2 linked regions of the Oryzias latipes genome follow. The protein of the gene in region 1 binds, or shares a complex with, the protein of each later gene. Links are inferred from orthologs where the notes say so. Each region holds a gene or a part of one and is shown in the gene's direction. Other genes may lie near its edges.

Region 1 (4,083 bases):
CTTTTATAAGTTGAGGAATCTTAATATTTTTAATATGAAATAATACAAATTTAAGCCAACTGACAATATAAATTTTAATTAATGTTAACTTAAAAGTTTTAATAATATAACTTAAAAACTATTGCGTAATCTGTTACACAATAATTTTTAAGTTCAGTCAACTCATTAGGGTTTACAGCGATGCATTGGACTGGAATAATGGACTATAATAATCTCCCATTAGTGGGAACAATCACCTAAACACTGACCACTTCTTGGTTTCAATAGTACAATTCCCATCAGCCCTTGTCCTCAAACCAGAATGTTCCCAAGCTGCTTCCGTTTATTACTCACCTGTCTCTCATCTGCAATCACACAACCTCTATATCACTTGTCAAACTTAAGGCCCGCGAGCCAAATACAATACTTGGTGTGTATTCATATCTAAGGGGAATTGGAGTAGAAATATCGGATTGGGCAACTGTACATTAGGACTTAAACACTGTCAATATAACCTAACCTGACAGAATAAAATTTAAAAGGATTTATGCTAGAGTAACAAGCAAACATGTTTTCTGTGCAACTGTGTCACTTTAACAAGTTATAATAAATAAATGAGTTATTTAACATTAAGGAATAATTACGTTTATTTTTCATTATATTTAGTTACCTTTGAGGAGAACCACTATGCTGATGTGGCCCTCGGTGAAAATGAGTTGGACACCCCTGCTATATATACAGAAAACTAGCTCACATTACAAAAAGTTGTGGCACATATTTACCTTTATACTTGTAACTTCTGTTAATTTCAATTCTTAACAACCCAAAATCAATTTAACAAATTATACAGCATCACGTATTTGAGCCCTGCCCTGTCATGGATTTGATTTTGTTCTAGTACAAAGAAAATGCGAATATACTTCAATGTCTTTAGTAGTAGTATATTAGTAGTTGTTGTTGTCATTCATTGTAGTAGCAGTAGTAGTAGCAGCAATGGGACAACGTTTTTACATTATTTACACAAATATATCAATTTGTTTACAAAAAAAACGTTTTCAAAAATCATATTTCAACCAGTTAACGGGCCAACACTGACACCCAGAGACGTCCGTAGGAAAATTAAAGGAAAATTTACAACTTCATATCCCTAAGACCATTGCGTTTCTCCCATAATGCCTTGCTTTTTTTTCTTGTTCTCGTTTCTGTCTCTCGCGAGTTTATCTCTTTTTTCCACCGCCGTTGATCGACTGCTCAACATGGCTTCTGACGGACCGCCGGGCACGGACCCGAATGATTTAGGTAGTGTAATCGCAGCATTAAACACATGGAGCGTCCCAGAGCTTCAGGGGAAGCTGGTGGAGCTAGGAGCTCCAACAATGGGTAAGAAAAGCTCCCATATAGTGCAAAAATCAAAGCGCGTTGTTTTGAAGCTAGCTTACGGCTAGCATTAGCTTGGAGCACATAGTCGTTGAACCTCCGTCATAAAGCGCTCCAACAACAGGCCCGCAGAATGGTTTGACTCCGTTTAGTATTTTCATATGCATATTTTAAAAGCCGTTTTTGTCTAATATTTTACAGTTGGAATACCAAACGTAACAATTGATTGCTTTTGATGATTTCTTACAAAAACTAGCTAAGTTTTTGCTGATGATGATGATCGACAGTTCCATTGTTGTGAACTGCTTAGGATTTGCTAATAATGTGATCAATAATTGGTATTTTACGTCATATGGTACTCTGATTACGTTAATAAATAACTCCAAACCGATGAATTATTATTAAAATAAAATACAATGGTCGTGCTTCTCTTAATTTAGGCTCTAGAGAGGAACTCATTGACAGACTGAAGGGCTACATGATGCAGGTAAGCTCATCCTCGAAATCAACATCACACCCACACAAATGCAACTTCCCATTCTTAATTCATTTTTTTTCTTGTTGATTTTAAAAACTATTATTCAAATGGATAATAATAAAATGTTTTTGAGGGTTTTATACCAATAGTTTGGGTAATCTCTCTTGTAGCCCTTCACATTGAGCCATTAAAACGGTGTGGAACGTTTTTTAAATTTTACGATGTCTATCTGGATTTATGTATGTTTAATTTTGTAAAATGTTTTAGTATGCTGTATAGGGATAATAGTTCAATTGCAAAAATCTCAAGTTAATATGGCAACAAACAACTAAGGGAAATCATTTCATTAGTAGCCTAACAAAGAATAATTGGTTGGCTAATGAAGGCTATTGAGTGGACTTAGTTTTGACTGTTTTTAACTTATCTGCATTGTTCAACTTCTGAATTTATAAATCAGACTGTAGACATGTGATGTTTAGCTAATTTTTAATGTGTCAGGTGGAAAAGCAAAAATAAATGGCCCAAAATAAAAATAAAAAAGATTAATTTCATATCAGTCAGCCTCCTATCTATTGCTCTTTTCACAATATTTTCATTTCTTTTTTTCAGGTGCCGAGCATTCCTCCCATGCCCCCGATGCCCATGCCACCTATGCCCCCAGGGATGGGAATGATCCCAGCAATGAACATGATACCCCCTGGAGCTCCTCCCTCTGGCATGCACATGACAATGGATCATCCAAACATGCCACCTCCTGGTCTCACACAGGACGATCAGCTTAAAATGGTTCAGCAGAGAGCTGCCATTGTGTTACAACAGGAAGAAAGGGCCAAGCATCAGGTGGGATGGCAGAACTGGCCAACTGCTGCATTTGACACATTAATCGCTAATATTGTAGTACTCGGCAAAACAAAATTACTGGACTGTATTTAAACATTGTAAGTTTTACAAAGTAAATTAGGTAAAAACAACGATCATAGATACAATTTTTCAATGTATTTGGGTAAAGCCAACATTTTTTACTAGAGACCTTTAACAGAAAACACCTAAACAGTCACATTTGCTAAACATTGGCCTTTTTTTGTTTGGCTAAAACAGGGGGACGAAAATGAACTTCTGGAGCAGCAGCAACGGGTAAGGAATTGCAAACAACACATTTTGTTCAGCTGTCAATTAAAATAAGGAAGACATTTATTTTCTTTGTTTCTTATTGTGATTTTATATTGCTTGCATCTCTCATTCATTTCTTCCTTAGGCTGCCGTGCTGCTGGAACAAGAACGACATCATGAAATGGCAAAGATGCAGCCAGCTGTCTCTGCAGTAAGAGGTTTGTGGAATATCCTAAAACCTTTTACAAGTGATTCCATTCAAGATCAATGTCACAAAATGTTTGTCAAGGGAAGACGTCTCTGCTTCCTACAGTGTTGCAAGCTGACGTTAAACCAGCATTTAATAGTATATTTTTACATTATCAATCACAAATTTGTTTTTTTCACAAAACCAAAGTTTCAGTTTTGGATCCTCACGGGCCTTTACCTCCTGGTGTCACCTTGTTGCCATCTCATAAACAAAAGGTGCCACCCCCTCCAGGAGAAGATAACAGAGACGTACGTTTTTCCTGCACTTCTCTAATTTTTGTTTTAGACATAGGTTAACACTAATTCTGGTGTGATTTAAGCAAAGTTAGATTCTTTTGAAGTTTTTTTAAACTCTTTGAACTTTTTTGATTAAAATGCGACAACCTGCTGGTTTAGTGTTAAACTGCAATTCCTTTCTTCCTGCAGATCTGGCAGAATGAAGAGATTAGTGTTGGCGGGCCCAAGATCCCACAGGCTCTGGAGAAGATCCTTCAGCTGAAGGAGATCAGGCAGGAGCAGCTTGTCGATCCAGCAGGTTAGACTTACAAAATAAAATATCTCCAGATTCTTTACATTCACTGTTACTGTCGTAAGGTATGGCCCCTAAAACATTTTTATTTTAGGGTATAGCATGGATATGTGTTTTTTGGTTATTTAATTTAAAGTCTGATTTTTTTTTTTTTTTTGCTTTATTTTTTTCAACAGAACCTGATCTGCCTTAAGTGTGATTTTTTTTATTACTGATTATAAAACCAAAACAAAAAAGCATAGTTAAAACTTTAATCAAGATGGTTGAAGCTTGTCAGCAACTAGGAAGCACGTTTGGAGAAAGAATCACTGTTTTTACTTCCCTTTGCTTTGTTTTAGATGATGTTGAAGATATGGATGCA
Region 2 (3,652 bases), on another chromosome or scaffold:
AGGAGAAGGCCAAGCAGGACCCAGCGTACCATCTGAACAGCACCAATCTGGAAACCAGGGAGACCTTAGCCGAGCTCTACAAGGAATACAAAGGAGATCAGCTGCTGGCCTCCACCATGAAGGAGCCGGAGGCCAAGAAAACGGACAAACTAAATGCTGTGAGTAGAACCCTGATAGGAATAAACTCCTCCTGACGTTGTTCTGACACACTTTGTTTTGGCGTAGCGTCAGAGCTTCTTGTTCTTCTCCTCAGAGTTGTTGAATAATTATGAAGCAGATTCTGTTTTTACTGCTGAACAATTGCCTAATGCAGCAGTGACTCAGCCCCTCCCACATGCAGCAGAGATCTCAGCTGTTTTTTTGTTTTTCAAATCCATCATTTCAACTCAGACAAATGAAGCCAATGGCTCAGCTGTTCCTGGTCACATGATAAATACCGTAGGAGCCTTGCTGCCTTTTTGTTTGACTGGAAAACAAGGACAGCAGGTTTTTAATGATGCCAACCTGTTTGGTTTTTCCTCTAATGAAAGCTGCTTCACGGAGCAGAGCTCTGTCAGTAAAATGAACCGTCTGGATCGTTTCACTGTCAGATCAGCTGTTCGTTTTTAGCCAGCAGCTCATGAAAAGTGCCATATCTGCTTCCAACACAAGAGGGAGCCAGACAGACAGGTGTGCAGCTACAGCAGAGTTGGACTGACTGACATGACAGCTAATCAGTCAGACTGGAGCAGCTTTTCTCCTCATTTTGAAGCTTCTTTTTGCTGCTGGGCTGCGTTTGGCACAGAGGTTTCCTGAACATGGCGGTCTGGAGGTGAAGGTGGTCTGAGAGAACAGACACAGCAAATGAGGTGAAGTCTGAGCTTTCACAGCAACTGGAGCAGAAACGTGTAAAGTCTGTGGCTCCACGTTCATTTTCTGCTCACTGAGCTGTCGGCTTTGCTCAAACGCCGTGTCAACAAATGTGCACGCGAGGACGAGAGGGCCGCAAATCCTCAGCGCTGCAGCGAAGAGGCGTGCCTCCAGGTTTACATCCATCATGTTAAATCAAAACGTTGAGTTCATGAAAGCCTCTCTTGCCTTTAATGTCCTTTTAGTTTGTCGGCATTTTAAAACCATCAGCTTTTCTTCAATGAATAGTTGATCGTTTCTCTGAAAACCAGGTTTTCTGATGTTCAAGGAGTCAACAAATGTATGTTTTTATTATCAATATTGCAGTTATTCAGGGGGGTATTCCAGGAAGCATGTTTAAACTCCCCTGACTTTAAGCCTGAACTCTGGCTGAAATCTGCCTGAACTTGCTTACTCTGGGTATGTCGGTTCCCAAAGACCGGATATGAGTTGGTGTAATTACGCTCCACTTGGTAACCCTGGGTTAATGCACGTGCACAGCAGGTACATAAAGACATTCTCAATAGATCGCCGATTTCTGGAGTCACCATGGAAACGCGTGGAGAAAAAAAGAGAACGCTATACTTCAGTGAGACGGAGTCTGAGATTAATGACGGCGTATGAAGATTATACGACCATCAAAAAAGTGACACGGCTGCATCATCAGCAAAAGAAAGTTTCTGCTTGGAGAAAAAGAACAGACAAAGTAAACGCACGAGTTTCTGATCTTATTTCCATTTTCCTTGTGACGCATATATATATAACTTATCCAATTTTGCCACCTTAAATGAAATACTTCTATTGGTAACAAATAATTGAGTTAAATTTAATCAACCTAATTTCTTACGTCTATAAAACTCAATAATTGTTTTTACAACTCAAATTTATGTATTTATCTAACTAAATGTCATATTACTCCAATTCAATTAATATTTTTCCATCTTAATTAATTATATTTCTTGATCTCTCATATGTCTAAGTATGAGCCGGCAGATATGTTCATTTTTATAACAATAAAAAGGACGGGAAAGAAATGCACATTGTGCACAAATTCATTAAAGAATTGTCCGTCTTTGTCATTACAATATGTAACGGTAGGGGTGCTCTATAAACTCATCATCCTCTCCTTCACTCTCACTCATGGTGCAGAGACATAAGCACAGTGGGACAAAATAACTCGGCAAAACAGCTAAACAACTAAACACATTTGGTCAAAAAGCCACACTTAAACCCAAATCCGTCCAGATAGGCAAAAGGAATGGTATCCCACAATCCCTTGCGGTGCCGGTCTAACAGCAGCACCAAAGTTAAACCTACTTAATTGAATTAATTTGAATGAAAGTAAAATGACTGTCTGAAAACTACGTGTTATTTTTAAACTGACTTAACAAACAAAGGATTTATCTTAACTGAAGCAAATAACTAAGTTAGATCAAAGTAAAAAAGTTTCTCTTTCCAACATCCATATGTGGTCTTATCCCCCTCTCATGGTGGAAAAAGTATTATCTGAGCTTCTTCATCCACTAAATCATCTTCAAATGGACACGCCATGCTGCTTCACCTCTCTGAAAACAAACTAACCTTCAACTAAACCTGCTCCAGACCAGGTTATGTTCAGAGCATGAGTTGCTATGGCAACTTGACATACCCTGAAACATACCTCTGTTTTTGGAACTGAAAGCTGAGGTTATCAACTTCCTTAGCCTCAAACTTACCGTGAGAGCTAGCATAACCTACTGTCTGGAATACCCCCCTGGAAACCGGCTCTAAGGTTTTCAGTAACGCTTTCCTTTACAGTACAGTCCTTACAGTGTACTTAAGCGGTATTTACATGGTACTTTTTGTGTAACTACTGGGTACTTACAGTGTTTACATGTGTACTTTTTATGGAATTTACTGGTTACTTACTTGGTACTTTTACAATGGTACTTTTTGGTTGATTGTTGTTCGTGTGTTCATATTTTGTTTGTAGTTCGCCAGCTGTTCACCTGCTGTTCGTTTGTTGTTTGTTTGTTTGTTGTTCATTCGTTTGTTGTTCATTTGTTGTTAGTTTTTTGTTTTTAGCTTGTTGTTTGTTTGTTGCCTGTTAGCTTGTTGTTTTCCTGTTAGCTTGTTGTTTGCCTGTTAGCTTGTTTGTTTGTTTTTAGCTTGTTGTTTGTTTGTTTGTTTGTTGTTTTCCTGTTAGCTTGTTGTTTGCCTGTTAGCTTGTTGTTTGTTTGTTTGTTGTTTGCCTGTTAGCTTGTTGTTTGTTGTTAGCTTGTTGTTTGGTTGTTTGTTGTTTTCCTGTTAGCTTGTTGTTTGCCTGTTAGCTTGTTGTTTGTTTGTTTGTTGTTTGCCTGTTAGCTTGTTTGTTTGTTTGTTTTTAGCTTGTTGTTTGGTTGTTGTTTTTCTGTTAGCTTGTTGTTTGCCTGTTAGCTTGTTGGTTGTTGTGAGCTTGTTGTTTGTTTGTTTGTTGTTTGCCTGTTAGCTTGTTTGTTTGTTTGTTTTTAGCTTGTTTGGTTGTTGTTAGCTTGTTTGTTTGTTGTTTTCCTGTTAGCTAGTTGTTTGCCTGTTAGCTTATTGTTTGTTGTTAGCTTGTTGCTTGTTTGTTGTTTTCCTGTTAGCTTGTTGTTTGCCTGTTAGCTTGTTGTTTGCCTGTTAGCTTGTTGTTTGGTTGTTTGTAGTTTGCCTGTTAGCTTGTTGTTTGGTGGTTGTTAGTTTGTTTGTTGTTTGCCTGTTTGTTCTTTGTTGTGATGGAAGCCGGTCTTTGACAGGTTCTAAATCT

What was found.
Region 2: sf3b2 (region 1) and ppil2 share a complex: the UniProt entries of both Homo sapiens proteins name them as parts of the minor spliceosome. The link is inferred for Oryzias latipes from reciprocal best matches to the Homo sapiens genes SF3B2 and PPIL2.

Annotation. Positions count from the first base shown.
Region 1 is NC_019876.2:19,503,961-19,508,043, reverse strand, and holds the start of sf3b2 (splicing factor 3B subunit 2), read left to right. Parts: upstream 1-1,155; 5' UTR 1,156-1,235; coding exon 1,236-1,359; intron 1,360-1,796; coding exon 1,797-1,843; intron 1,844-2,443; coding exon 2,444-2,674; intron 2,675-2,932; coding exon 2,933-2,968; intron 2,969-3,089; coding exon 3,090-3,162; intron 3,163-3,341; coding exon 3,342-3,442; intron 3,443-3,619; coding exon 3,620-3,728; intron 3,729-4,060; coding exon 4,061-4,083. UniProt on the Homo sapiens protein: Component of the 17S U2 SnRNP complex of the spliceosome, a large ribonucleoprotein complex that removes introns from transcribed pre-mRNAs.
Region 2 is NC_019867.2:618,798-622,449, forward strand, and holds part of ppil2 (peptidyl-prolyl cis-trans isomerase-like 2), read left to right. Parts: coding exon 1-158; intron 159-3,652. UniProt on the Homo sapiens protein: Has a ubiquitin-protein ligase activity acting as an E3 ubiquitin protein ligase or as an ubiquitin-ubiquitin ligase promoting elongation of ubiquitin chains on substrates.